2 linked regions of the Rattus norvegicus genome follow. The protein of the gene in region 1 purifies or fractionates together with the protein of each later gene. This does not show direct contact. Links are inferred from orthologs where the notes say so. Each region holds a gene or a part of one and is shown on either strand. Other genes may lie near its edges. The genes, in order: Nod1 and Ripk2.

Evidence for each region.
Region 2: the proteins of Nod1 (region 1) and Ripk2 purify together in Homo sapiens (affinity purification with western blotting; 4 studies listed by BioGRID and IntAct, with this or other methods). This does not show direct contact. The link is inferred for Rattus norvegicus from reciprocal best matches to the Homo sapiens genes NOD1 and RIPK2.

The regions. Positions count from the first base shown.
Region 1 is NC_086022.1:85,432,902-85,449,955, reverse strand, and holds the start of Nod1 (nucleotide-binding oligomerization domain-containing protein 1), read left to right. Parts: upstream 1-8,281; 5' UTR 8,282-8,390; intron 8,391-17,054. UniProt on the Homo sapiens protein: Pattern recognition receptor (PRR) that detects bacterial peptidoglycan fragments and other danger signals and thus participates in both innate and adaptive immune responses.
Region 2 is NC_086023.1:34,450,511-34,464,226, reverse strand, and holds the start of Ripk2 (receptor-interacting serine/threonine-protein kinase 2), read left to right. Parts: upstream 1-4,563; 5' UTR 4,564-4,697; coding exon 4,698-4,870; intron 4,871-4,881; exon of another isoform or gene 4,882-5,069; intron 5,070-9,612; coding exon 9,613-9,766; intron 9,767-10,389; exon of another isoform or gene 10,390-10,466; intron 10,467-12,101; coding exon 12,102-12,257; intron 12,258-13,716.

The sequences.
Region 1 (17,054 bases):
CTGCCAAGCTCATAAAATACAGAGCCTGATTAGAAGAGGAAAGCCAAGAAGATAAGCGTCCGTATTTGAATGTGCAACACCCAGTAGGCACCCAATAAAGCAAGTACAGAAGAGATTTACTCAAAAAATTAAAGAGAAACTCATTATGAGAGGACAAGAAGAAAGCCAGTGTGTGTGTGTGCGTGTGTGCGCGCGTGTGTGCTTGTGCCTATAATCCCAGCACTTGGAAAGCTGAGGCAGGAGATCATAAACATGACAAGGTTCAACTAAAAAGCAAAAATAAGATGGCGGTGTTATATTTCAGTATATCAATTATCATATTAAATGTAAGTTTCTAAGTGTATGACTGGAGTTGCCAAAAAGGCTCTGGTAAGAGTACTCACTGCTCTTGGAGAAGACATGGATTTGGTTCCCAGCACCCACAAGATAGCTAACAGCCACCTATAACTCCAGTTCCAGAGGCTCCATAACCCTGTCCTGGCCTCAGACACCAAGCATACAGGTGGTACACCTACAAACATGTGGGCAAACACTTATGCATGTAAAAAAAACCCCAAACATAAATATAATTAAAACATAGAAACTGGCAAAGTGATTTAAAACAGCCCAGCCTTGTGGTGTCTACAGGAAACTAATGACAAGCAGTTTGAAAGGGAGTGGTGGACCAAGATCTGGATGCAGGCGTAAGCCAAAGCAAACTCGTTCCCGTGTTAGTTTCAGATAAGGTAAGTTTCAGAGCAAAGGAAACAGAACAGTTGCTAACCTTACCTTGTTCATTTTTATGAAGTTAACATTAGCTTGGTACCCGAACTGACAATACAAAGAAAACTAACCCACAGGTGAGTGTTCTTGATGAGCATGGGTTTTTAAAAAAAAATGCTTAAGGAAAAAGTTAATAGAATTCAGCCATACCTAAGGGTTGGGAGTCATAACAAAGTGGGGTTTATTCCACAGATGTCATTCCACAGTGTGGTATTTACAAATCTGTCAAACCACTTCAGGGAGAAAAGAAAATGAAAAGGCAGCCACACACCCACTCACAATTAAAGTATTTTAAAAATTAGAAAAGGGGACTAATAATTTAACAGAGTCTATAAAAATTGCAGTCGGTAACATTACACTCAAAATACCAAATGTTTTACCTCTAAAACAAAAGGATCCATGCTCTCCCGTTCAACACAGTGAGATGTTACAGCCTGCGCTGTAACTAGAAGAGAGGAAAGGAGCCCAAAGACTAAAGTGGGCGGGGAGAAGGTGCTGCAGGTAAAGCACGTGCTGCCAAGCCTGGAGACCTGTGTTTGAGACCGAGACTCACATGGCGGAAGGAGAGATATGACCCCTTCAGGTTGTCTTCTGACTTCTTTTTGCTGACAGCTCCCCACCCTTACTTTTGCTCCCTCAATATCTCTGTCTCTCTCAATGTAATAATTAAAAAAAAAAAACCAGTAAGCTAAACCACCCCCATTTATACATGGTTGACAAAATTGTCCTCATAGAGGATACCAGAAAGTTTTTTAAAGCTCTATAATCAATTAAGTCTAACAGGGCCATGGGATACAAGGTGATATACAAAAACCCCACCATGTGCCTGTACACGGGAGAGGAACACATGGGCAGAGGAGGTAAAACGGCTGCACCACCTGGAGCTGGGGCTCAGGAGGCAGCTCGCTCGCCCAGGCTGTGTGCGGCCCTGCACTTCAGTCCCAGCACAGCAGAAGTTAAAAAAGCAATAGTGTGAGCAAAAGTTCAAGTAGTTAAAAGCACTAGCTGCTCTTCCAGGGGACTTGGGGTCTGTCCCCAGTACCCACCTGGAGGCTCTCTACTGGCCTGCACAGGTATCAGATATGCACACAGTACACATACATACATGCAGGTAAAACACTCATACACATACACTAACAACAACTAAGAATACCACTTGCAGGCTTTTTGCTCTATTTTTATGAAATAGCCATTTTAAAAGCATTTAAAAGCATGATTAGCATTTTGTACAGTGTTATAACCATCTCCAGTTCCAAAACATGTCACCTCCCAAGTGAAACCAGGTACAAAAGTCTTGCCCATTCTCCTGCCCTTGTGAAACTCCAGACTGTTCCCCATGTATGTGGATTTAATGGTCGTGTATATTTCGTGGAAGTGGGATCATACAGGTGCCTGTTTCTATTGTCCCTCCAGTGCCATGTCCTGAGCTTCAGCCTCCCTGTAGACACCTAAACCTCACATCTACTGTAGTGACTAGCATGAGTTATGTGCATATGCCACACTTGTTTAACCTTCCTCCCATCATGGGCACTTGGATTGTTCTCGTTTCCAACTACTACGGATACTTCTTCCGAAAACATTTATGTACACATTTTTTGAATCCTACTTTTCAACTATTTTGGATTTATACCTAGGGGGAGGATGATGGATCATATGGTAATTCTATATATTTAACTTACATAACCACCACAATTTCCCACTTGGACTGGAATATTGTAATTCTGACCAGTCATGTACACAATTACACAACTGATTTTTTTTTAAAAAAGGAAGAATTATTAGCTACACACAGTGGTGTGTGCCTATATTCATTGCTCTTGGGAGGTGGAAGAGGGAAGATTGTGTGCTCAAAGTCTCCATGGACCACACAATGAGATTCTGTCTCAAAATAATAGCAAAAAAGAAATGAAGAACATGAAAATGGTGAAGTGTAGATCTTACAAAGCTATGAGCAGGGTGTGTAGTGAAAGCTACAAAATACTGGGGAAAGAAATCAAGGCAGAGATAGGTGGATGGAGAATGGTAACAGTCATGTGTTGAATGAGCCAAAGATATTATTCGTGGGGAAGATCCATGGTAAAATTGTTCCCCAAACCCAGAACAGACTTAGCGAATCTGTTGTCAAAATTGTAACATGATTCATTTTTATAGAACTGTCAAAGTGGAATAGGTAAGGGGATTTTTTTAAATGGCAATAAAATGAGCACTCATAATTGCTGATGAAGGGATGAGTACATAGGACGATGGAGCAGGATGAATACATAGAGCGATGGAGCAGGATAAGTACACAGAGTGATGAAGCAGGATGAGTACACAGAGCACAGAGCGATGGAGCAGGATGGGTACACAGAGCTGAGCAGGATGAGTATACAGAGTGATGGAGCAGGATGGGTACACAGAGCGATGGAGCAGGATGAGTACATAGAGCGATGGAGCAGGATAAGTACACAGAGTGATGAAGCAGAATGAGTACACAGAGCGATGGATCAGGATGAGTACACAGAGCGATGGAGCAGGATGAGTACATAGAGCGATGGAGGAGAATAGAGAACCCAGAGAAGAACCAAGAATACACCAAAGTTAACTTTTGGCCAAGGTAATTTAATGGGAGAACCTTTATAGCAAACGATCCCGAATCAGCAATGGAACACTTTATTAGGAAAGGGAGGATTTTAGATTCTAAGAGTAACTGTTATAAACTGACCAGTTGGGGCTGGAGAGATGGCTCAGTGGTTAAGAGCACTGACTGCTCTTCCAGAGGTCCTGAGTTCAAATCCCAGCAACCACATGGTGGCTCACAACCATCTGTAATGGGATCTGATGCCCTCTTCTGGTGTGTCTGAGGGTAGCTATGGTATACTTATATATAATAAATAAATCTTTATAAACTGACCAGTCATGGTGGCATAGACTATAACCCCAGAACTTAGGGAGGACCACAAGTGTGAGGCCAGTCTGGACTACATAACAAGACCCTGTTCAGGAAGACAGACGGACAGACAGACAGACACTATTAGAAAAAAGATGTAACTGCCAATTTTTAAACTTTTTTATTGTTTGTGAATTTCACATCATGCACCCCAATCCCACTTACCTCCCTCTCTCCTAATACCTGCCCTCCACCCTTGCAACCTTCCCCCAAAGAAGAAAAATAAAATCTCATTGTGGAAGCTATAGTGTGTCACAGTGTGTCATATTTAAACTCTTTTGTCCACACTTTTTTTGCTTTCAAATGGACTCATTAGGTTGAATCCTTCTCTGGTTCAAGGCCTCTGACTTCTGCTACACTATCAATAATGGAACCTCACTGAGATTCTTCTTGGCTGTTTTGTTGTTGCCCTGTGTCATGGAGATCCTGTAGCTTTGGGTCTGTGGGACGAACTCCTTCATGGAGTTAGATATTGGGGAGGGCCAATTCAAAGCTGTGAATCTGGGCCTGAGAGGCATCTGAACTGGTTGCCCGCCAGTTATTCTGCACCCACACCACCGGAGTGAGCTCCTCTGCCTTGCTTTGGATAGGCCATCTGAAGCTGTCATCAGTAAGGGCAGAGCCAGCTCTCCCACTCTCATGCTCTCTTGGCTGGCTCATCCACACCCACACCATCAGGGCCAGCTCTCATGTGCTGCCTAGGCAAGGTGCAGGGCCCACTTTCCTAAGTGTTGCAGCCGGCGAGGGATTGGGCCAATTCTCCTACTCTCATAACCCAGGGCCAACACTCCTGCTTGTCATAGGAGGCAAGGGGCCAGGGTGGGGGAGGGCCTCTCTCCCTGGTCCTTGTCACCATGTGGCAGACAAGTTATGGGCCAGCTCTCCTACGTTCACACCCTCTGGGCTCACTCACCCACTCACAATTCCCTAGTCCAGGGCCAACCCCACTGTGCTTCTTGGGTGATGTGCAGGGTGGTTGCGGACAACAACGAAGCTCTTCTAAGTACTGCAGCTGGCTAGGGGAGGGGACAACTCTCCTAGTCTCACACACCCCCAGGGACAGCTCTCCCATTATGCTCAAGCGAGTGGTGGGGCCAGATCTGTCTGGCCTTTGATGGTAACAGACCCTGCAGCTGCAAAGCCATGGACCAGACATGACCTCCAGTGGCAGCACAGGCCAGGACCACACCATGGTCCCAGGTCCCGGCTACTCACGTCAGGCTCTTTCTCACTACCCTCGAGTCTCCAGTTCTGCCTCTCTTCATTGTGCTCACATCCTTCTGCTTCCCTTTCTCCTCCATTTCTCCACCACTTGCTTGCTCTTCTGGTGGTGCCCAGGGTCTCTCAGTGTCTGGGGTTGTCTCAGGAGTGGTCTCAGAAGTGCTATGTCCTGCTTGTGTATTGTCATTTCTGGCATGGTTTCCCCAATCCCCCACCCCCACCCCCAGGCCTGCTTGGTGCCAGACTGGTGATTGTCTTGAGCTTGCTCCTTGCCTAGGCTGGCCCACATGGCTCCACATGGGGGTTGTCTAGTTGGGGCTCACTTCCACCTAGGGCCCACAGTTCCAGGGTCCCATGCAGAGTCCATCTAGTCTTTGGCTCACTCCTCAACCTGGGAGCTCACCTGGGCCTTTGCAGCACCAGAGTGGTGGTCTTCTCAGGCTCTCGTGTTAGGCTAGTAATCTTTCAGTTCATAGATCAGAACACTGAGCATAGACATAGTCTCTCTTCTCTGCCACCCACTGACATTTATGTCACACAGCAGACACACCAGCAGTGCCTCTAGGGGCAGGGGAGCTGCCAATTTTTAGAATCTAGGAATTGGCAGAGTTCAGACTTGACTCCAAAAGTATGACCCATTGAAAGGAAAACCAGTAAACTGGACTGCATAAAGTGAAAGGGCAGGCACAGGGCTTAGGCATATAGCTCAGTTGCTAACAGTCCTTGCCTGGCATGCCCTGGACTTGGTCCATGGTGTCTGTCCATGGTGGCATTTGTTTTCAATCCCAGCTCTTGGAAGGAGATGCTCAAAGTCATTATGATGGTTTGTATATGCTTGGCTCAGAGAGTGGCACTATTAGAGGTATGGCCTTCTTGGAGTAGGTGTGTCACTGTGGGCATGGGCTTAAGACCCCCATCCTAGCTGTCTGGGAGTCAGTATTCTGCTAACAGCCTTAAGATGAAGATATAGATCTCTCAGCTCCTCCTGCACCAGGCCTGCCTGAATGCTGCCATGCTCCCACCTTGGTGATAATGGACTGAACCTCTGAACCTATAAACCAGCCCCAATTAAATGTTGTCTTTATAAGAGTTACCTTGGTCATGGTGTCTGCTAAGACGATCATTTTTGGCAATAGTTTTAGGACAGCTGAAACCCTGTCACAGAGACAGAGAGAGAGAGAGAGAGAGAGAGAGAGAGAGAGAGAGAGAGAGAGAGGAAGAAGAAGAAGAAGAAGAAGAAGAAGAAGAAGAAGAAGAAGAAGAAGAAGAAGAAGAAGAAGAAGAGGAAGAAGAGGAAGAAGAAGAAGGAGGAGGAAAAGAAAAGGAAGAAAGAATTGGGAAAAATATTTACAAGCCACACATAGACACTCTCAACACACAACATTTAGGAAATGAACAAGAGACACAGAGACGTGTTTTCCTCAAGAGAAGACACAGGTGGCATGTAGGCACATGCACGAAGTCCAGCATCATCAGCAAGCTAAAACCACAACGATGTCTCACCAGGACCATACAACTACCCAAATGGCCAATATGAAATGGGACAGCACCAGACGCTGGAGATCCGCTAGGAAGCAGTCACTTGGCTGGTCAGTAATGGAAATGTTAAATGTTCTGGCTATTTCAGAAGACAGCTCAGCAGGCTTTTGAGAAATTGATGACAAAGGTGAAAATAGCCCCCAAAAGGTAAAGAGTGTTTTTAAAGTGCTATAGGAACTCATGCCTCAGAAGACTGCCCAATGACAATAATAAAAGGGAAGTCACCATGGATACAAGCAATGGTCTAGGTGAGTCCTCTTAGGATTATACAAAATGAAAACAAAACAATCGCAAAATAATAGAGCTGGCGAGGCTGCTCAGTGGGTAGAGGTACCTGCTACCAAGTCGGAGTTCAGTTGGCCCCAAATCTGCATGGTAGAAGGAGAAAAACAAGTCCTGCCATTGTTCTGTGACCTCCACATGTGCATCATGACATGTATGTACTCATACACTTACACACACACACACACATGCACACACACACATGCACGCATACACGCGCGGGTGCATGTGCAAACACACACACAAATGTAACACAGGCTTTCAAAACGTTATCTCTAAGTGCAGCCTGATTCCATCTGTTTAAAAGTCTTGATAACTTCCTAGAAATGGGAACAAGTTTATGGTTTCCAGAGGCTGAGTACGGTGTAGGATGCTGTAAAAGGATGCTCGTGGTGGACCTGTTCTGTATCTTGACTCGGTTAATAGTCTGTTTTCTGCTTTCCGTAGTTTTTGTGCCGTAGCTCTACAACACTGGGCCAAATTGAATGACAAAAATGTGAATCTGCATTATTTCTTCCAGTTCTTTATTAATTTACAGTTATCACAATATTAAAAAAAAAGTCCCGGGGTTGGGGATTTAGCTCAGTGGTAGAGCGCTTGCCTAGGAAGCACAAGGCCCTGGGTTCGGTCCCCAGCTCCGAAAAAAAGAACCAAAAAAAAAAAAAAAAAAGTCCCAAATAACAAGTAAGGGAACAGCTGTCTCAAAAAATGTAGATGATAGTGTTAGCAAAAAGAAGACTAAGAATGAGCAGTGGGCAGGCGGTGCACAGTGCGATTGGCCCTGGATCCGTCTCCAGCATTGCAAACAGATCAGACTTAGAAGAAAAACTTTCCTTTCAGTCACTTAGCCACAGCACTGCAGCACACTGCAGCACACTGCAGGGGGGGGGGGGGTTCTCCTTTCTCGCAAGAACACCATTACACACCGCCCCAAGGTGCTTGCAAACTTTCGGTTTTGCTTTTCTCAGAGGGTCAACTTCATGCGAGTTTTCATAGCCATGACTGTATGTGGCCACAAATCTGAAAGCACTTTTGTTTAATTGGCAATAATGTTTAAAAATATTTATTCAGAAGGTTTATTCGCATGTAATTCCTTACAGTAAATAAAGAGGCTCTAGAATATTCGTGGTCAAGAGAAGACTTAACCACAGACCGGGAGAAAGCCTCTGTCTCTGAAGTAGATCAAACTGAAATTTGTTTAGTGTATAACAAGCCTTTCTGCCCGGGTCCTGGCATTGGTTGTGGTTACAGGCGCTGGGTGGCACTCTCAGGGGGGCGGGCCTTGGCTCTCGGCGCCGGAGCAGAGCTGGCCTGACGAGTTCCCAGGGTGTCACCCCTGGGCTAACTCCGAGGCCTGCCCACTCCCCCTGCGCAGTGGCCGCTCGTCCTGGTGCAGTGTGCGGAGGCTCCCGCCAGGGAAATGGGACAGGGGGCAGCGCTTATGGCCGGTCCCCGCCTCCTCCGCCCTCTCCGCCCTGTTCCCTCCCCTGAGCCCACCCGAGCCTGGGCGCGGCCGGTCCTAGTCCCCGCCAGTTCCTGATCCCAAACCGCGAGCGGCAGTGCTGCTGTGCCGCCAGATCTGCGACCCTAGTCCAGGATCCCTGTGCTGAGAGCCGCCGTACTCCAGGGCCACCTGAGCCAAAGTCCTGCCAACTTGGTAAGTCATGGGGTTTGGCGCGGTCAGCTCTGTAACCAGCTGAGGAAATGTAAGGCTATCTGTGGAAGAGCTATGGCTGAAACCCGATGGGGAGAGACCCCGTGCCCCATCCCTCACCCAAGTTTCAGAATCAGCCCTAGTTCAGACAGCAATGGAATCTAAGGCCCGCGTTTTCAGACCGCCTGCCTGCAACTTAGAATAAAGTGTGGACTTAGCAAATCCAGACGCCCAGACTATTCGACAGAGTTCTGTCGGAAACTCTATAAACTATTGCTTCAGAGCTCCCTGGGTGATTCCGATGTGCACGTAGGATTAGGAGCCTGAGACCGATGGGTAGCCTCCAAAAGAAAGTGCCTGCTGACCTGGACCTTCCTGAGTGCAGCCTGCAAACAAGCTGTCTCTTCCAGGAACCTCCAGTGGTCCTGGGGACAAGGGAGGACTTCCCTTGAGTTTCGTGGGATACAAAAGAAGGAAGCAAGACAATGCTTGTTTGGCAGAGTTGCCCGAATTTCAAACTGAAAAGGTCCTAGAGTATGCAGTGTTTTCATAGGTTGTAAAAAGCACAAAAATGGATAGATAGATTGCCGAGGACCTTTGGTTCTGGATCGCCTGAGTTACTGGTATTCGAAATTGCCTCGGGAAGCCAGAGAACCCTTGACAACCGCCCTCCATCCTTTACGGGTGAAGCCAAAGGTATAGAATGGAGTCTGATTGCCTACTCAAAAGCAGCCTTTCTGCTTTAGAGGTTGAGAATACCTGGAGCGTCACTTCCAGGATGTCTGTCGGAGAGGAGAGGTTTCAATGTTGTATCTGGGAGCAGAGACCAGTGTGGCAGTTGTGATCCTGGAGCCACTGACAAACAGACATGCATCCTCATGTAATGCTGGCCAGAGAAGAGGCAGACTTAAAACCCAGGGCAGGGGTAGAAGAGGGAGGGCCCTTGCAAAGGCCACAAGAGTTTTGTTTTCGTAGAACGTAGACCCAGTAAACCTGGTTCCAATCTTTGAATCTGTCGCTTGAGTGATGTGATTGGCTGCATGTTAAAAATGACCCGTGTGAGCCTCTCTTTTCTTACTGGTAAAGCCTAGACAAAGAGAAGCTTAACATAGGCTAAGGTAAAGTCCATCTCACACACTATGGTCCACAGCAGGGGCTCTGTTACTGGAAGACAATTATCTATTTGGTCTAGCCCCTATGACGGAGTGTGTTTGTCCAGAAACTGTCTTCCTTAAAGCCTCACTCTCCTGCTATTCTATACCAAATATATTTTTAAGACAGCTGGGCTGTCAGCGAGAGTCAAGGTTGATGCAGCACACATGGCTTTCTTGCTGGCAGTCGCCTGAGAGATTGCACCCAGCGTCCCTGTTCTGCTCTTGACTCTTGTCCAGGGGCCTCTTTCATCAAAGACAGTCAGGAATCTGTAGAAGAGAATTCCAAATCCTACCCTTACTGATACCTACCTCCCAGCTGAAACTGTTTCCCAGCTGCCCGTTCTGTTGGGAGGACTGTCACTACCAGAGCAACGGCTGTAGCATTGTTTAGATAAGATGTTCAAAAATGTAAACTGTAAAGCCACAGAGGCATGGAGATCAAGTGTCCATAAGAGTATTTGTGGTCATTGATATTTGCTTCAACAAAAATAAGAAGGGTTCGCTGCTGAAACGAAAGGCATTTGATTCCTAGGATTGGAATGACAGTTTCTTCTACCCCTCTCCTTTGGAAGGTTTTAGGCAAGATGAAGTTAGGAAACCAAATACGTACTTGTTCTGAACTGCTGCCACAGTGAGCTATAGGTGTTTTGCAAATTTCCAGTGTCTTGTTGTCTTTGAGGTTCTGCAGAAAGCTAGTTGCATGCCCTGTGGCAGTCTGCTCTTAGCCACCTACAGGTTGTGACTGTCTCTGTGGAGGCTCAGAGAGGGCAGGCGTTTCATCTAAACTTGGCTCTGTTATAAGACGAATAGTTGCTGTCTTTTCAATTAACACATGGATTCAGCCAGTGCTGGAATACTGGCTAGCACGAGACTTCCTGGCTTGGATGCTTCCTTAAACTAGGATTTCATCTAGAATTGGCAGGCACCAAACTGTGGGCAGAGTCAGCCACAGCAGACTTGCCACCACCCTCCCTATTTGTCCTACTGCCAACCAATGGGGTGTGGGCTGCAAACGGATGGGGCGCTGTCCCGGCCTTTGATGGAACAGAGCCCCTAAAAGAGATTCACTTCTTTATAGCCAACAGGGGAGCGAAGTACTATCTTTCCTTAAAACCAACAGGCTACTGGTCAAACTCACTTTAGAGTTTGTTTTGCTGTCAAGGGATTTCCCTCTAAACAACAGAGAGCTGTATTTTAAAGGAGTAAGGACATGGCTGAGGACAAATGCACAGGGAATAATCCAGTGAGCGCCTGATTAGCGCCAGGTCTTGGTACCTTACTTCTACATGATGGAGACCGAGTTGGACACTGAACCTAAGACTTTATAGATACAAGGCAAGGGCTCTGCCATCACCCTCTTCTTACGTCTAAAACTTTGAATCAGAGTCTCACTAAATTACGCAGGTTTGGGGTCCTAGCACTTTCACCTCCTGAGTAGCTGGAATATATCTATACTATGTCTATCCCTATATGGTTATGTCTGTATGTCTATGTCTAGCTATTTATATATAGAGATTACTCTCTCTATAGAGATCTGTATCTCTATATAGATATGTAGATATAGTAGACATATCAACATATATTTCTGTATGTTGCTATGTAGTTTAGAATGGAGATGTCCCTTGCGGTTCTGTTGTATTGTCACCACCACAGAGATTAGGGTTGGAAGAAGTAAGGGTGGTAGTTAGTGACTCGGTGGATGCTTTAGCAGCCGTGTGCTGCTAGCTAAGACAGTCACGCATTACTGAAGAAACCTCTTTGGTAGACAGTTGTGAGAAGGTGGCATTTTACTTGGGAGACTATGGGTGTCATTCCAATTCCCAGAAGATTAAAAATGGCAGTCGCCAAGAACTTCTGTGCTGTGCTTCACCTTAATACAATCTTAACTTTTCTCAGTGACCCATGGAGCAAACTCTCTGGAAGGAACTAGATAGGAAGCTAGGCTTGCCCTTGCGGATAGGTAGTCTCTGTATACTACGGGACAACAGATCCCTCCTTGAGAGGATATTCCTGGCTCTGTTTAACAATGCGGTTTTAAATTTTATTTTAGTGTTATTGTATTTCTGAGGCAGGGTCTTACTAGTAGCCATGACTGGCCTGGAACTCTCTCTGTAGACCAGACTGACCTCTAACTCATACTGATCCTCTTGGTTCTGCCTCCAGCATGCTGGGTTTGAAAGCAGACATCATCGTGCCTGCTACAATGGAGATTTTAAAACCATGCAGTCAGGCTTGCTCTCTGAGGCTTCAAGTGCCGGCTCCTGATCTCTGTAAAGCAGAAGGATGTGGAAGAGGCCTCAGGCTTCACACTCAGAGTGGGGGTCACACCACTGTTTTCTCCCTTAACTAAAGGTGGTGTCTCTCCTCCATTCATAAAATAGGACATCCTTTCCAAACGGGTTGTTTTGAGCCAGTGATGAGCTAATCTGTGAAGCACTCTCCCCCTTGCCTAGCTTCCAGTAAGTAGTGATTACTGTGGTGACAGTAATAACCATGGGTGCTGTGGCTCCAGGGCTAGTTTTGCCATCTCCTCGTGTGTGTGACCTTGGACTGGCATCTGTAAAATAGGGGTCAAAGCTCATCATGATGCTAGGGTTGGTGAGACGGAGTGATGAAGATGTGGCAGACTGCAGATAGTAAAGATGAACTCCCCCAAAGATTTGCTGTGTGCCACACTGGGCTGAAGAATTCACGATGAGCTATCGGTTTGTTGCATCCAACACTGTACACACTTAGTCTTCTCAACACCCAGTAACCCTTAGTTGCGCCTCCCATCTTCCAGGCGGGACAGCTGAAGTCCCATGAGGTTAATGAACTAACCCCAAGTCCACAGTGTTTGACTCAGGATTTGAAGCCAGCCCAGCAAGCCTGGTTTCTTAATCTCCGCTGGATGTTCAGCGGAGCCCCGCCCTCTGCTGGCCCGACCCACCTCTCCAGCCTCCTACCTGTAATTAAGGGCAGGTGTGCGCACGTTTCCTTCAGAGTGGTGTTCCTGCCTGTTTAAGGAGTGAAGTGGGGGCTTCCTCTTGTGCCCCTCAGATGACTTAAACCCCAACCATTGCTTGGATGTAACTGAAAGGAAAAATGAAGTGAAACAAAAATATAGAAAACTCAAAAGCCTTGTTACCATTATAGACCTAATTTTATTAGGGCGGATTATAATGTTTGCTTTGTAATAATGTCCCCTGGATGCAGTAAAGTATGCCTTTATGGTGGGCAGGTGTGTGCGTGGGTGAGGAGCACAGAACCCTACCTGGGTGAGACAGCGGCAGAGTTTAAGTCGTTCTAAGTACACCCCAGTTTTTGAATTTTTTACTCATCTCTCCCTCTCCTGCATCCCAATGGTTTGTTTCTCTTCTTGAGATCTCACAGCCTTCCTAGAGGTCTGTGTGGGGTAGGGTGGGGGTGGGAGGCAGGAGAGTAAATGTCAAGAATAAGTGGTAGGTGCTTTAGCATATCTTAGAATGAAGTGGGTATTTCTAGGGCTGTGAAACACTTGGTTGGCTCCTCAGTCTGGTTGGAAGACTGACGTAGAACTGTACCTCCTGGTTCCTCCTTGCTCCGTGGAGTTTCAGTTCTTCAACATGTTAATTCACCTATCACTGGGAGCAAGGATGTATTAATACTTGGGAGCTGGAGGGAGTGGTGGTGGTAATAACACAGTGATAGAATGTGTGTCCGGCATTCACAAGGTGCTGGGTTCAAGCCCCAGCATTACAAAACTCAAACTGAAAGCATAAGTCCCAGACGTTGTTTTGACTGAGTCTGTAGTGCATGCTTGCAAGGCCAGCAGTCTGGGGCTAGGCCTGGAAGAGAGCGGTGTGGAGAGAAGTCTGGGCTAAACAAAGTGTGTGGACTAATGGCATGTACAAGCTAGGATGGTCACCTGTATGGAAAACTATCTTAGGTTGTGTGTTCTAAACAACAGCTATTTATTTCTTTTAGCCCTGGAGGCAAGGAGTATGAGATTAGGTCTCTAGTGTGGTCAGGAACAATGGAAGTTCTCTAACTTGCTTACAGGTGGGCACCTGTGTCCTAGTGGGACAGAGAGAACAAGATAGCATTCTCTGTCACTTCTTATAAGTCCCCATGGTATCATTTAAACCTAAACATTACTCAGGGTCCTCCCCAAAGCTATCATGCTGAGGTTAGACTCATAAATGGAAACATGGACACTCAGTCGTTAGATAGGCAGGATGTGAACGCACAAGAAAATACATAATTATAAAATGTGCTGCTGAAAGGGGAAATGACACCTCTTCCTGAGAAAGAACATTCCTAGAGCTAGAGGCCTGGAGGTTTCTCTCTAGGGAGTCCTTCAACAAAGGGTTAGGGATGTACACAGGAGGGGAAGAGCATTTGGGAACTGGGGAACAGCAAGCCTGAAGCTCAATGTGGGAAGGAGCTACGTGGTGAGGATGAGTAGTTAGTGTGGGTATGAGTAGTGAGTGGTGGCCCTTGTGGTGAGGCCTGAGGCAGAAGAGAATGAGAGGAGCTAGAGAATGAGCTACCTCAGGCTGAGCAGGCTCCTGGGCTGAGAAAGGTCAGAGACTTTTATTCTAACATGCAGTAGAGGACTACTGAAGAGTCCTCCTGTAACTGTTCCATATTGTCAGTCTGCAAGCAAAAGACTACGGGAAAGTCTCAGCAGGAAGAGAACAGGAAGGCCTCGTGTGAGAAGGCCAACACTTACTTCTAAAACAGACCTGCTCTCTGGATAACCAGTCCACTCCCTTGAGAACCCCATTGCAACAGTCAGTTTTCATTGCTGTGACGAAATACCAGAGATAATCAACTTAAAAGGAAAAAGGGGTTGGCTTGGTTCATGGCTTCAGAGGTTTCAGCCATGACTGCTTGGTCCTGTTGTCTTTGTGCCTGTGATGAGGCAAAATATCATGACAAGGTGCTGGAGTCATGGTGGCTGGCATAAAAGAGAGAAGGGTCGACTGAGGTCCTACTAGTTCTCTCGGTGATCTGATACTGTGGCATAACACCCTTCCACCTACTAAAGGTCCTACTAGTTCTCTCAGTGACCTGATACTGTGGCATAACACCCTTCCACCTACTAAAGGTTCCACCATTTCTCAGTAACACACAGGTTGGTGACTATCAACTTCAATATGTGGGCTTCTTGGGGACATTTAGTTGTGGTCCATTGTGAGGATGGGATCCACATGACCCAGTCTCTTTCAAAGGTCCCACCTCCACATGCCACTAACGATGAGCTTGAAGATCAGTTTCCAACACAAACCTTTTGGGAGTCAAATGGTTAAAGGATATCAACTCTTGCACACTGAAGTTAGAAACCTTGTGCTGTTCCACTCCGGTACTGAAGAAAAGCAGGAAGGGGTGGGGGGTGGGAGGAGCAGGCCTGGGTTAAAGCAGGGAACAGTCTTGAAAGGGGTTGAGGGAGCAAACCTCTGTTAGAGAGTGACAGAGCTCTGAATGTAGGCAGAGTTTTCAACTTGGGGATAAGGAATCTTAAACTCAGAACGCAGTGAAAAGTGGGCCGAGAGCTAAGGGTGCCCCGCCTGGAGTCTCTGCTCTGGAGTTTCTGACACAGATAAGTGTGTGTGGACTCTTCTAGGCACTTGAACATCCTTCATCCGGAGCGCCAGATTCTAGTCCATCTTAGCTCCTGGAAGCAAGGACAAAAGACTTTCCAAAGTGAAATGAGGTTGGGACGAGGCGGGGTTAGAGGTTGCAGGCACAAAATGCTAGGTCCCCATGGCTCTAGGACAATATTTCAAGCATCAGTTCTGCCGTCTCTGGCTGAAAGAAGTGCTTTCCCCACCTCTATTATCTTTGAAAATCCAAATTCATCTACTAGGGAATTTGCATGTGGTTGGGAGGCACCTGGTTGGTTTTGTTTTGCCTTTTTGTTTTTAGTGATGGGGTTTGAACCCAGGATCTCCTAGGTGTAAAGTATGAGCTGCACTCCTGAGCCACAGACCCAGAATCCAGGGTTTGCAAAGAAAAAAAATTGTTTTGGTTTGACACTTTTAGGTCACAAAGATATGCTCTACTGAAGGGGAGAGCCCCACCTTGGCCTGCTGTCCTACAGCTAGGTGGCTGCACCATCCTGCCCTTCTCCGTTGCATGCACTGTGGCTGGTTAAACTGGTCTCCCTGTGATAGGAGCTCACTCATCAAGGCCTGCAGGCTGTGCAGGCTCTGAAGAGGACAGTTTGGGATGGCGGTTCTGTCATCTCAATGTCTCATTGACCCCCAGGGTCCATGCACACTGGTCCTCTCCATTTGGAAGCCATGACAGTTTTGTGGCCCTGATTCTGCTAACTGTGCACCTATGTTCAGGTGGGGCAAGACAGATTTCATGGCGCCCTTGGCCAGCAGTCAGCAGTGTGTTTATTTGTTCGCAGCCAAGCTCCACCTTAGGCTTCTGAGGTGAGTAATACATGCTGTTCTTAAGAAATGCCTTTCTTCTGAGAAGCCTCAGACACTTTCTGGGCACAGATCTGCCCTGTGCATAGCATCTCTCCCCCCCCCCCTCTCCAAATTAAAATTTAAATTACGAGTATTTATTTATTTGAGAGGGGGAATTTGTGGAGGTCAGAAGGTTAGGGTCTAAGAATTGTTGAAGGAAGACCCCACCCCAGCCTCAAACAGTATGCAAAGGCAAGAGCATTTATTCTGCAGAAATTACCAGCACATAGGGGTCAACCATTCATCAAAATGGCGGTGACTTGAGTAGGCCCCTTTTATGCAGGTCTAGGGGAATTTTCCAGAAGGGTTAGGTAAGCTTTAATATGATTAGTAGGTCCAAAGCAGTGACATTAGTACAGTTTGATTGGCTGCTCTGTTGGTTGGTGAGGCCTTGATGAGTTTCAGAGACCTTTGTCATCTCCTCCAGCCAGCTGTCCCAGGAGCTCACTCCACACTTACCTCCCTAAGTCAGGGCCTTCATTGACTAAAGGGTCATTGTTTATGGATCCTTCTGAGGAGCCTAGTATGCTTCCCTGCGAATTGAAATTTTTATCCCCAAGGTTTTTGGACCTTTCAAGAGGATAATTAGTGGGAATCAACTCTCTCCTTCTCCTGTGTATGACCCAGGGATTGAACTCAGGCCATCAGCTTGGCAGCAAGCTCCTTTTCTGAATGAGTCATGGGAACATGGGAAACACTTCTTTGTCCCCTTTGAGGAATTCTAGGGATGGCTAAAGCCGTTCATTGTATTGCTCTTCTCTATGGCTCTTCTTATTAGGATGTTTTATTCGCTGGCCCCTCAGCGCTGAGCTTCAGGCAGGATCTTTTTCAAAGCCTGGATTTAAACAGAAACAGTATCTTATCAGTTGAGCATCAGTCTTAATAAGGGGCAGGGCATGGTCACTGTCTTAGTTGGGCTTTCATTGCTGTGAAGAGATACCATGACCAGGCAACTCTTATAAAGGACATTTAATTGGGGCTGGCTTGCAGGTTCAGAGGTTCAGTACATTATCATCAAGGCAGGAGCATGACAGCATCCAGGCAGATGCAGGAGGAGCTGAGGGTTCTAC
Region 2 (13,716 bases), on another chromosome or scaffold:
TTTAATTTCCCTTTTCTTTTAATCATGAATCAAATTAGGGGACTTTGAAGCAAGTTATTTTCTCTGTATTCTTTACCATAATAAGCCAAACATAATTTAAGGACTAAAATATGGTTTCATCTAGAGAGACTTTTAATTTATCGTGAAGAAATTATTAAACACAGTTAATTCGGCTAATTTGATCTATCTCCCTGCTTTGAGAGTATATGGAGATCAAGAAAGGAGTGGTTCATTGGCATTCTGACCTAGTCTTCTAACCATATAATCAGCTTGTTTAAATGAAACTGTAGGGCCAGAGAGATGGCTCAGGAGTTAAGAGCACTGGCTGCTCTTCCAGAGGAAGATTCCCTGCATCCACATGGCAACCCACAGCTATCTGTAACTCCAGAAGGTATTTCCTTTTCTGGACTCTGTGGGTACCAGGCAGGTGTACAAACATACACATAAAAATAAATTAAGAATTTTAGCCAACTCTGATGGCAAATGCCTTCAATTCCAGCACTCTAGAGGCGAATCAGTTGGATCTCTGTGAGTTCAAAGCCAGTCTGGACTACATAGTGAGTTCCAGGAGAGCCAGGACTATGTAGAGAGACCCTGTCTCAAAGGTTAAAAAAAAGATATAATAATAATAATAATAATAATAATAATAATAATAATAATACTGAGGAAACCTAAAATATTCCTTGATGAATATATGATTAAATGACTATAGTGTACCCATACCATGCAGTACTACTCAGCCATTTATGAAAAGCTATTGATACAAACAAAATGTCATGTGGATATGATGCTGCATAAACTAAAACAATCTGAAAACATTACATATTTTACTATTGCATTAACTATTATGGTTTGTATACAAAGCAACCTTCCAAAAGCCCGTGCACTGAAGGCTTACTTCCCCGCTGATAGCATTACCGAGAGGTCATGAGGCTTGCTTCATTTGTTGGCAATCTATTGATCAGCTCATGACTTGAAGGGGCTGATAGAAATCAGGGGCCTACTTGAAGAAAGCAGGCCACTCCGGGTATCGGTAGCCCACTGTCTGCGAAGGACAAAGAGTGTCCCTGTCCTGCCATATTTCTCTATGCTTCCTAGTGAACAGGTTTGCATGACACAGGACCCCTGCTGTGATGTCCTGCCTCATTGGGCCCCAAAGCAGTGGAGCTACCCACCAAGGACTGGAGCTCTGAAACCACAAGGCAAAATAAACTCTTCTTCCTTCAGGTAGATTTTTCTCAAGCAATGTTTCACACTGACAGAAAAGCAAGATTAGACAAGGAAAACAGATTCAGTATGCACAGAAATTTTCCTTCTGACAGCCCTGAGGAATAATTGGTGCGATTCCTCTCTCCTAGCCTGTGGTAACTTCAGTCATTCCTCGATTTACTGCAGTTGCCTTGTCCCTGTGTCTATAACCTGTCATCCCCCTATGCATGGCTATCTTGTTATTTAAATATCTACTCTTTATTATGGGGGGTCCATACTAGGTACCATAGGCCCACGCACTGACTCCAAACCCAGGAGCCTACGCTTCAACCTCCCAAGTAATGGGGTTTCAGGCACATGCCACCACCTCTGATTTAGTTTTTCCTGTATCAACAGTCACCTTTGATTAAGGCCTAGACTTTAACTTAATCAGCTCTATCTTGGAAATTTTCCTGTTGCTGTAATAAAATACCCTGCAAAAGCAACCTACAGAAGGAAGAGTATATTTTAGGCTCAAAGCTGGAAGGTGCAATTGATTGCAGCAAGGGAAACAAAGGAGCAAATGCTTACAACAGGTGGTCAACTGTCCTTGATAAGAAGGGGTGGTGGACGCTTGTGTTTTTTGTAAATCGGGGCACAGTAAAAAAACCAACAAAAATCTGGGAGCAAGGTTTTTATTGTGATGGGGTGGGGGGATAGGGGCATTCAGAGATATCTGCAAGAATCCAGGGCTAACAGAAACAGAAGAGGACTGGGCATGTCCAAAATTTATCTGTGAGGAAAGCAAGAATAGCAGATAGCATCAAGAGAGAATTTCAAGACTAGTGTGCACATCAAGAAGGGGAGAGACTTGCTGTCATATAGAGACAGGGAGTATCCAGGAGGAGGGAATCCTGGGAATTACAACAGTCTGGGAGCTAGTCTGGAGGAGTGAGAGTAGGCATACAGCAAATCAGAGTGTAGATAATCAACAAGATAGCAAGCTTCTGGCTTTTCCCGAAAGTGTGACCTTTCTGGGTGACTTATCTGGGCATGTTCTAGGCACGGCATGGATAGGTCAAAGCTTGCACAGTGAGATACTAGGGACTTACACCTCTGTTTTCAAGCTGACCAATGCAAAAAGAGGGGGAAAGGAACCTATCCTATGTCACCAAAACACTCGAACTACCAATCTTCCAAGGGAAAGCAGATTTCAGTATCTATCTCCTCCCTACTTATGATCAGTCTGTTCTTCTGTGTCGAGTGTATGTTTGTGTGTGCTTGTGCATGTGTGTGTGTACTTGTGTGCATGTGTGTGTATGTGTACATGTGCATGTGTATGTATGCGTGTGCATGTCCATGTGAGTGTGCATGTGTGTGTGCAAGTGCATATGTGTGTGTATGTGTGTGCATGGGTGTGCACACATACTATACTTTTAATAAAACTTGATTGCTTGCTATTGCTGTGATTTTTTTTCCCTCTGTCTTTTAATTGTTTAATTGTTGGGGAAAACTGAACTCAATCCATGACCCTGGATGGTAACTAAGTAGAACCCAATACTACTACACTTGACTTGAAACTGGGCTGTTTTTTGAAAAAGTGTGTTATTTTGCAAAATGTTTGTATCTTATTTCTAAATGAGATGTGAATCTCTTAAAGCTGATATTTCCTAAACTAATGTAGTAAGACACAAATAAACTTTATTCACAATAACATTTAGGTATAATTTTGTAGGATTTTAAATAAATGAGTTCAACATATAGGTGTGGTACTTATTTTTGAGGCTAATTTGTCTGTTTTGTTTAAGTGTTTGTCTAGTAAATTCATTTCAATATTAATGTCTTAAGCTTTCTATCATTAACTAGGTGATTATGAAAATTAAATGTATATATTCACAAAAATCCATGTATGTATATACATACATACATACATATATGTACCCATATATTCTTAGTTAAGAATATATACTCATTATATTGAGTTCCTATTTTTAAACTTATATTTTTTATTTATGTGCGTTGCCTACAGAAGCCAGAAGAGGTGGTCAGATTCTCTGGAGCTGGAGAACAGGCAGCTGTGAGCCACTAGATTCGAGTACTAGTAACAAACCTCAGGTCCTGTGGAAGAACAGAAAGCCCTCTTAATGGCTTACCCATGACTCTAGCCCAAGAAAACATAATCTTAGAATGCAGACTTGTAAAAAAAAAAAAACTATTAAGAACTAGTGTGTAGGAAAGGAAATGTCGATGTTGTATACATATTACATTACTAATATAAGGAACACATCACAGATTGCAACATCCTGGTGGGTGTAGGATCATGGAACTATATCGCTCATATGAGATACTTGCCCCAAACGTCGTACTGAACAGTCATTTAAGTAGAAAGGTGTTTAAAGTAAAAAGATGAAATAGTGATGGCTTTTGGTTGTTTGGTTTTTTGCTTTTTGTTTTTGTTTTTGTCTTTGTTTTTCTTCTCGGATAGAAGACTTCCCAAACACAAGAAATGGTTCTATTTTTCAATTTGTGCATAGGCCTTGGGGAATAAAAGGAGAAAGAGTGTCCTGGTAAGAGAGCTTGTCACAGAAGCTAAACACCTCAATTTGTCACACTGACAACGCTGACCTCTCTACCTCACTCCTCAAGTGTCAGACACTGAGTAAAGATTGGGGCAAAGGCAACCACATAGTAACAGCGCAGGAAGTGGGGCCTTAACGAAGTCACCAGACTCCCCAGTCACCCCACACCCTATCGCTTCTGGGGTTTGGAAGCTAAGGAAGACACGCAGGCCAAAGGAAAATCCAGCCGACCCACCTGACACCGGCTTGGAGGACTGCGGAGGGATTTTCCCCAGAGGAAAACTTTTCCAGGCCTCAGTGGTGCCCACTCGGCTGTCGAGGGAGGGAAGCCTCTGACACTCGCCTGGGTTAACCTCATGAGCTGCAGAGGGAGGGAGGAGCGGGCAGAGGGAGGAGCCGGCGAGGGGAGGAGCCGGCGGGGGAGGAGCCGAAGGGGGGAGGAGTCTACAGAGGAAGAGCAGGTCGAGGGAGGAGCCAGCAGATAGTGGAGCCTGCAGAGGGAGAAGCTAGCGAAGAGAGGAGCTTGCAGAGGAGGAGCCAATGGAGGGAGGAGCGGGCGGAAGGTGAAGCCAGAGGACCGACCAGCTGGCGGAGGAGGAGTTGGCGGAGGAGGAGCCCGCGGAGAGAGGAGCTAAAGAAGGGAGGAGCCGGCGGAGGAGGGGCCGGCGGAGGGAGGGGTCGGGGTAGGAGTCGAAGGCTGAGGAGCTGGTGAAGGTAAGAGCCCGGCCTAGAAAAGCCGGCGGAGGGAGGAACCCACGGAACCCAGGAGGAGGGCGGAGGAAGGTCCGCCTCGGCGCGGCCGCAGACCCGACGGGCTCCCAGGGACAGCCGGCCGGGCCGGAACTGCAGAGAATGGGCCGCCCCGGGACCTAGCGCACCGCAGCACGGGCCGCGGCCAGGGTCGGGCGGAGCCGCTGCGCAGCTGGAGCCATGAACGGGGACGCCATCTGCAGCGCGCTGCCCCACATCCCCTACCACAAGCTCGCCGACCTGCACTACCTCAGCCGCGGCGCCTCAGGCACCGTCTCGTCGGCAAGACACGCGGACTGGCGGGTGCGGGTGGCAGTGAAGCACCTGCACATTCACACGCCGCTGCTCGACAGGTAGGGCGCGGACGTGGGACCCCACGCAAGTGCGGGCCGACGCGTTATCATCCTGACCGCACTGATGGTGATGCGCCGGCTCCGCCGCGGCGAGTCCTTAAGTTTTTGGGCTATCCTGGCCCAAGAGAGAAATTGTCCTGGACCTGCGTCAGACTTCGCAACTCGCCTCTCCACCGCCCTGCCTCTCCTCCCATCCAAGGTGTTCTTTCTCTCTCTCTCTCTCCAGAACCCTGCAATCACGGCCACCTCTAAAAGTGTGTTGGTACAGTGCTTGTGGGCTTTGCTCTATTTTAGCTAGCTGTTAGTCACAAGAGCTGTGGGGCTCTGGCAACTGCTCTTCGAAACGAAGTACTAAGCAGTGAGTGCAAAATACACACCGGATTTTGAACATTTAGCGCCTGTGTGTGTGTGTGTGTGTGTGTGTGTGTGTGTGTGTGTGTGTGTGTGTGTGTAGTTTTTGTATTGATTAAACGTCAAAATATTTTTCTAGGGTTTTATGTGTGTTTCACTCCATAGTTTTATTGAGCAGTGCTGCTCCTGAGCCTGCGTATTATGTCTTGGTTTGGTTGGATTTTGGTTGGTTTTGTTTTGTTTGTGGTTTATTACGTGCACTCATGAATTTCGGATATCAAATTCTACATTACCAGTTGTTATTCGAGCTCTTGCTTTGGAAGTCCCCAAAGGAAGTGTGCTCTGTTTTTGTAACAGTAAGATGAATCAAAAGCTATTAAATGGTCAAAACTTGTGAAGATTGAAAACAAATTTGACCATCCCTTGTCCTGGCATTATTTGGATCCAGCTCCCATATATTCAGAAGAAGAAGAAAAAAAAAAAAAGCATTGGTTTCTGTTTCCAGGAAAACATTACAACTAAATACCATAGATCTGTGACTGTATGTGTTAGTCAATGGGTCTAGTCAGAACTCTTCGTATTTTTCTTCCATCAGAAACTGAGCCGGACCTTCATTCAGTCCTTAGTGCACTTGCTAACACTGGTGGTTGCAGTGTTCTCTTCTCCTGGATCTAGTGTGGAAATACAGATATCATAGTGGCCCTATTGGTCAGAGGCCATTAATGCTGGGTATCAGGGCAGTTCCAGCATCAAATAATTCTCTTGCTTCAGCCCTGATAAAATGTTAGACTTTCATCTGCCTGTGCTCTTTTTTTCCATTATTGGCAAGATCACATTGTAGTAGTCAATGGAGCCAGTGCTCTGTGTGTGTGTGTGTGCGTGTGTGTGTGTGTGCGCGCGCACATGCATGAACACACAGTAGTCAACATTAAAAGGGAGGTTGGTTAGGAATCAAGCAAATAGTCTATGCAAATGTAGCACTAATAGACCACTATCTATACTAAAGCTAGTTGATTTTTCTTACTTTGGTTTCTGCTTTTCAAGGCTTAAATTTACCTAAGCTTTGTTTGTGTCATTTGTAGGCCGAGGGATAAAGATGGGAAAAAAGTTGTTGCTTTCCCAAATTCGCCAACCACTTCATAGTATAATTCCGTTGAATTAGATAGGAAAATACCTTTATAAGACCAACAAAACCCCCTTGCCCTACTGCATTGCACTCTTTTATCTTGCTGTCTAAGATCTTTCCATGAGCACAGGCCTAGGATTATGCAATTGACTCTGAGGGTATCTTACTTCCTCACCTATAAAATATGAATAATAAACACTATACATATACTTGTGGTGCTCTGGTGTGGATAATGTACCCATTGTTCTTTAAGATTACCTGAAAAGAAAATAAGTTTATGTGACGTTACATGTTATTTTAACAATTAGTGAGTCACTCTCCGTAGCCAATGAGTGGGACTTCCATAGCAATCTTCCCGCTTTAGTGAACTGCTGACTCCTGTTGGCTGTTCAAGTACCCTAGAGATGGATAGCTGTTTCCTATTGAAATTTTGAGTTGGGTAATTTTAGTGATATAATTATTGAAGCTATATTTTAAAAATCTTTTGCTTTTATTTTCCCCCTCAATCTTGTTGAAATCTAACCTCACAAACCATCTGATTTGCTTTTCTCATCAAACAGTAGACTAGGAAAAACAGACTTTACCAGAGCTACAATTTAAATGTGACTTAAAACCTGTCGCTTTGTGTTGTGGTCACCAAAGGATCATTCGTTTTTCTAACTGTAGATGCCCCATATGTAAAATGGAGATAATGAAACCAGCTCTAGAGAGTTGCCCAGGGTTTAGAGTGCATATAAAATGGCTGACAAGGAGGACGAATACATCATACCTTTTCTTGTGTATATGTACATGCATGTGTATATACACGTAGGGGATGCATGTGCTGCTCCACATGCATGATGTATAAGCCAGGGGTCAACCTCAGGTGTTGTTCCTCAAGACCACCTCAGGACCACCATTTAGTGTGAGAGTGTATGTGTGTGTGTGTGTGTGTGTGTGTGTGTGTGTGTGTGTGTGTGTGTGTTTAATGTTTTGGAGTGTTCATTATTGTTGGCTTTTTTGTCTGTATTAGGAATTAAACTCAGAGTCTCCGGCTTGTATGACAATCACTTTACCGACTGTGCTGTCTCCTAATCCCTTATTTCATACTTTGGACAGAAAGAGGAAAGGTTATTTTATATGTATGTGTCACTGGAACTTCTACACTGTGCCCTCTCATTTCAAGTGTCCAGGGATCTTTGGGTTCATCCTGTAAGGCACTACACAGCAACTGTCTTGTTGACCCATATCTCTTGGGGCAAACACAGAACTTGAGAAATTGAAGTTTAATTGGATGAGCTTCACAGACTGATAGAACTGGTTTCTTTACAGCTGAGATCAGGGACAGAGAATAGGGACTTGGTTATGTTGCCTTGCACCTCTTGAATTTAGAAGCATAATATATTTTGCCTACTCAAAGACTTAATAACCTCTAACTATGGTTGGGTGTGTGTCCCTGAGTCTCTCCGTGTGCTTTAAGTAGTCTGGTCAGGAATGTCTGTTGGTATTCTTATTTCAGCAGTCATTCGTCCAGGGCTCGGGTTTCTTAAGAGCCAACTAATCATCATCACTTACCCAATAGGCTTCTCCTGGAAGCATTTCTATTTATGTCATCGCTGCCAACACCCATGCATCTGGGCATAAGAAGATGGTGTCAATATCAGCTCTCCCCCATTGCTTCTGCTCATTGAAGTCCCTTATAGCCAGTCAGTCCTGGCTCATACTATTCTTTTCAGCCAGTGTTTTCTTGTCTTTCCACTACTACTTTATCAGTTCAGGCTCCCTTGCTTTCTATCTGAACTATTGTTACAATCTTCAAAGTTGTTCCTCTTTCTCTCAATCCCATCTCCTGAACCAAGACCTTTATACCTTCTTTTACTGATTTCTTTTCTCTCGCTCCAAACCTTCCATTGCACCTGACGTGAGACAAAGTGGTTCGGGGCATTTTAGGGTCCCAGCATGCCACTTATGCCACCCTCCCATACAGACACTCTTTCATAACCTAGCTCTCTTGGCACAGTCACAGCCTTACTTTCACTTCCCCAATTCATTTGACACGTGGCTGTCAGACATGCACTCTGTTGCTCGATAGTAGGCATTGCTGTAAGTCCTGGGGATGGATACACACGTGTGCAAAAGAGAAGCAAGGTCTTGCTTGTGGTGGAGGCCCCGTTTACTTCCTGTGCCTTCTCTCTGATGTTGAATTCTAGCCATACTTCAGGTTCCATTGAAAGTCTACCTATTTGAAGACTGGTGGTGACTTTACCATGCTCAAAATTCTCTCTCTTCTGAATGCCCCATAGTTTGCTTCTCTCTCTTTCTTTCTCTCTCTCTCTCTCTCTTTCTTTCTCTCTCTCTCTCTCTTTCTTTCTCTCTCTCTCTCTCTTTCTTTCTCTCTCTCTCTCTTTCCTCTCTCTCTGTGTTATATAAATATATATTTATATATGTATATTATATATGTAAAATATATGGTAATTATCACATTATTCTTTGTATTATTTATTTATTTTCCTTATCTGAATTATGGGCCTTTAAAGGCAAAGATGCCATTTTGTCTTTGTATGTGATAAAATGTGTCCACAGCACTATTTGATAATCACTTTTATTCATGATCACCTAAGAAAACACAGATATGTACATTAATGATTCACTACAGTAGTAAAATTACAGGTACAAAGTAACAACAAAGATAATTTTATGGTTGGGGGGTCACCACAACGTGAAGAACTGTATTTAAGGGTCACAGCGTTAGGAATGTTGAAAACCACTGGCCTAAGCTATTACATCCCCAATGTTAGAATGTTTTAGAGTTCATGTTTGGAAAACTTTCCTATGGCACATAACAATAAAATGTAATGTTCTTCTAATCAAATGTGTTCCTTTTAGTATAAAATAATCTCGAAAATTGAATTAGCTCAAGCATCAGTCATTCTAACATAGGTGGATTTTTGGAGCTTCCTCTTACATTGTTCCTTCCCTTTCCTAGAAAAAGCACAGTAACGACCCATGTGCTGCGCTTTGACTGTTCGTGGGAAGTACAGTCATCAGCATGCGTAGCCCTCTTCCCACCAGTGGTTAATGCAAGTTATTTTGACTGCCCTCTAACAGACCAGTAGAGTACAGACAGTGGATAGCATCTCTATTTTGAATATGGTCAAGCTAAGGGACACAGACGTTGAAGCTACGTAGCTAATTAGTGGGAGAAATCCAAACTTAATTAATCTGTGTGCATGGTATTTGTAGGTGTTTTTCATTATCTGAAATAATTGTCTTCTTTTCCCCTTAGTGAAAGAAATGATATCTTACGAGAAGCCGAAATATTACATAAAGCAAGATTTAGTTACATTCTTCCAATATTGGGAATTTGCAATGAGCCTGAATTTTTGGGCATAGTTACTGAATACATGCCAAACGGATCATTAAATGAGCTTCTACACAGAGTGAGTACTGCTTGTTTTCAGTGGCTTTAACCATTGTTCAGTCTGCTCAAGCTAAATATAATATTTTTGTTCTTCAGCCATATTTCTTTGCAAGTATAAATGAATCATACCAGGTAGGCATGGGAAATAGAAGAAATTCATACTACATAGTTCACTGTTAAGTCATATATTATATTAGTGATGATTTAGGATCCAAATTAAGTATTAGCAGTTAGTGGACCAAGTAAATTATCTTCAGTGACGTGATACATGACATTTTTCCATCTATAGCAGTTTGAGCCAGTACTGACTTATTTCCCAAGGTATGAGTTACTCTGACTTTTATTTGTGAATCCTATCAACAAACACACTTGGGAGTCCTCATTCTCAAAATGCATATATTCTATTTTTATTTTTGCTTAATCTTACACACTGATTTTTTTTTTCCAGTCTGCGTTTTCTTTCAGAAATCATTTTAGGTCAGATGCTGCATTTTATGAGGATTTGAGCTAATTAAAGTTGCATACTACCTTGAACACCTGTGGCTCTCCCGCATTATACTATGCCACAGTGCTGTCTACGCAGGCGAGGGAAGGTGGGCACCGCTGTCAGCCACTCATGGAGTGACTTCCTCTTTGTTTCAGAATACATCGCATTCTATTCATGACTTGTGACCATCTGAAACAAAGACGGATTAAAGTAACTCGTGTCAGTCTGTAAGGTTTGTGTACCTGCCCCAGCAGTCAACTCACAAAGATTCCACCAATCAGCTTCTTTTTGGTTGTTTGAGAACTGGAGTTTAAGCAGAGATTCTAATCTTTTCTTTCCACATCCCTGTAGATATTCTGGCACCCAGATTTGGAGCCTACTGGAAATTCTGTAGCCTTCGCTAGGGGTATTGCTAACTCTTAGATGTGACCGTAAAGCATAGATTGCCACTGTCCCCTTGACTGCATGAGGAAAAGTCCCACATGGCACTGCCGTGCAGAGGCCCCGTTGCTCCTTTAAACTTCATAGTGTTTTGAAAAAGTTGCCTTTGTACAGACCAACAAAAGATTCGCTTACTCCTAGGCACTAAGCGTATGCGTTCCCAAGGAAGTAATACTCTGCGTTGGAATTTCCTATTCCTTTCGGTTCCTTAGTCTAGTACCCTGAATTATACACTAGTTACTCACCATGGAGTTTATCTTGAAGCACTCATCCCTCACATCATAAAAGATCATTGAATGAAAAATGGAGATATACTATAAAAACAGCCTAAAATGTTTTGAAACATCTCCCTACCAATTGGTAACTGAAATTTAAGCAAGTTTGTTTTCAGGATCATAAGGCCATTTTTAGCACTTCCAAAAAAAGTGACTTTTGCTTAATGTTTTTTTAAAAATGAACCCATGGGTATGGTGCCTGATTGGCATTACCACCTTTTCCAAAGTGTCTGATTTTTCTGAGTGTACACATTCTCCTGGGAAACCGAGTGAGCTTCATTTATTCAGAAAGAATTATTTTTAAAGAAACTCACGTGAATATAGGTTTAGAAACAAAAGTGGTCTTAGATTTCACAAAAAGAAAATTCCCAAAAGTTAATGTTTCAAGAGGTAAAGTCAATAAATTGTGTTATGAAAAAGTCTGAGCTCCAGTGGGGTGACTCAGAAGGACACAGACACTGTCACCCAATAAGACAACCTTGACCTGAGGCTGAGCCCAAAGCCTTTGTCAAGGTGCAGGGGAAGCACTCACTTCAGGAAGTCGTCCTGACCTCTACACTCACACTCTGACACATGTACCCCCTCACATGTATACACACAAACTATAGTAACAAATTAAATGTTTTGCTGATATGACATATTGACACTCCAAATAAATGTAATACACTGACAATTTTTAATTGATGTAGAGATTATGTGACAATTATAGTTTTAAATGAATATGAAGAGTTAAAATTTTGAATGGATGGCTTAGCATGTCAGAAGCAATGATACATGTTTTTCTCTGTGTGCATGTGCTTATGGGTCTAAGTGATTAGATGAAGCCATGGAACTCGGTGGTACAGGAGAGTGTAAAACCATGTGTCTGTATATACATACAAATAACTGAGAGCGGTTTCTTCTAAAGAACAAGACAGGAATGCCATGCAATGGCATGGCCAATAGAAGAAGAAAAACACCACTGCTGTCGTTATCAGGAACAATTCTAAAACTTAAAATATAAGAATATGAAACAGTATCAATTGATACTATGTTATAAAATTGAGTGTGCATTTCATCTTAGTTTGTAATCTGTTTCCTCGTGGATTTATTAATTTTTAACTGCTAAATTAAGGTAGTACTTTTCATTTTATTTCTTTCACTGTACAAAGAAAACTGAATATCCTGAGATTGCATGGCCATTGAGATTCCGCATCCTGCATGAAATTGCTCTTGGTGTAAATTACCTGCACAATATGAACCCCCCTCTGCTTCATCATGACTTAAAGACTCAGAATATCTTGTTGGATAATGAATTTCATGTTAAGGTAACTAATTGCGGGGCTGGGGTGTGGATTTCTCTGGGTCTTTTTCTTAATAATTCTGAAAAGGCGTTTCACTAGTATCTTAACTTCTGTCTTCAATACCACCTCCCTGTGGCTTGGGGCTGGGAAACCTGACTGGGTAGGTGAGGGAATGAAGCAATCTCAGGCTGCAAAGATCCAGGGGAGGAAGCTCTAGTTCCCAGCATTTGCACAAACTGCCAACCTTGCAATGGGACCAGGGGTTTTGCATTCCTATGGGTCTGAGGCATTGGGGGTCCTTAATATACATGCTCATGGCTCTTTGTCAGCAAGATTCATTCACTTAGGTGGTTTCAGCTCTCCATACTTCAGCCCCTTTCCTGAAGTGGTTCGGTTATTCTTGTTTGTTTGTTGTGGGACTGGGGAAGCTATGGGATAGCATGGAGGGTAGGCCGCATGTCCCCGCACACTTAGCTCTGTGAGCCCCCATCTCACCTTTGCCCCACCAGAGGAGGTCGTGAAACCCTGTATCCAAATTAAACTTCCTCTTGCCTTATAAGACCATGTCTAGCAGGACCTGGAATTCCTCCTTATACAAATGGGGCATCCCCATTTCCCAGACCCTGGCCAACAATGTACCCTCACCCCATAGTCCCTACTCACCTCCCACAGATTGTAAAAGAGCTGTCTCACTGATCTCACTGCCCTCTGAGGCCTCTCAGCTGCACACCATCCCCATCCCGCTCCTCCACTCTGACAGGCACTTTATATGAAACGGGTTCATGGGTATCCCGGCTTGGCATGGAACTCAGGAATCTCTTACCTCTGCCTTCCTAGTGCTGGGATTAAAGGTATGCACCACCACCACCACCACCACCACCACCACCACCACCACCAACAACAACAACAACAACAACAACAACAGCCCTGGCTTAAGGCTCAGTTATTCTTAAACTTTAGAGACAGGATTTGGTACAAAATAGCAATTCACTGTGTTTCTTAGTTACAGTTGTCAAAAATGTTTTACCTTTGTTTTCTTTTCTGTTTTAAAATTAGGGTAGAGTCATAGGAAATTATAAATGAACCTGGCTTCATGTACCCCTTACCCAGTTTCCCTGCATAATTAGAACTCAGCTTCCAGACCAGAAACTGGACAGGAATTGGAGATTTTTGACCATCTTTTGATGTGCTTCCCATGTCACCCGTATAGCCATCCGTGAAAAGCTTTTTCATGAGTCCATTTCCTAACTGAGTGTTTCATTTTTATCATTCAGTTTTAAGAACCCCATATATATTTTGAATGAGTCCTTCATTCATCAGATAATTTTCAGATATTTCTTTCAAATACTTCTCCACTGCTTGTGTTGTTCTCTCTCTCTCTCTCTCTCTCTCTCTCTCTCTCTCTCTCTCTCTCTCTCTGTGTGTGTGTGTGTGTGTGTGTGAGAGAGAGAGAGAGAGAGAGGGAGAGGGAGAGGGAGAGAGA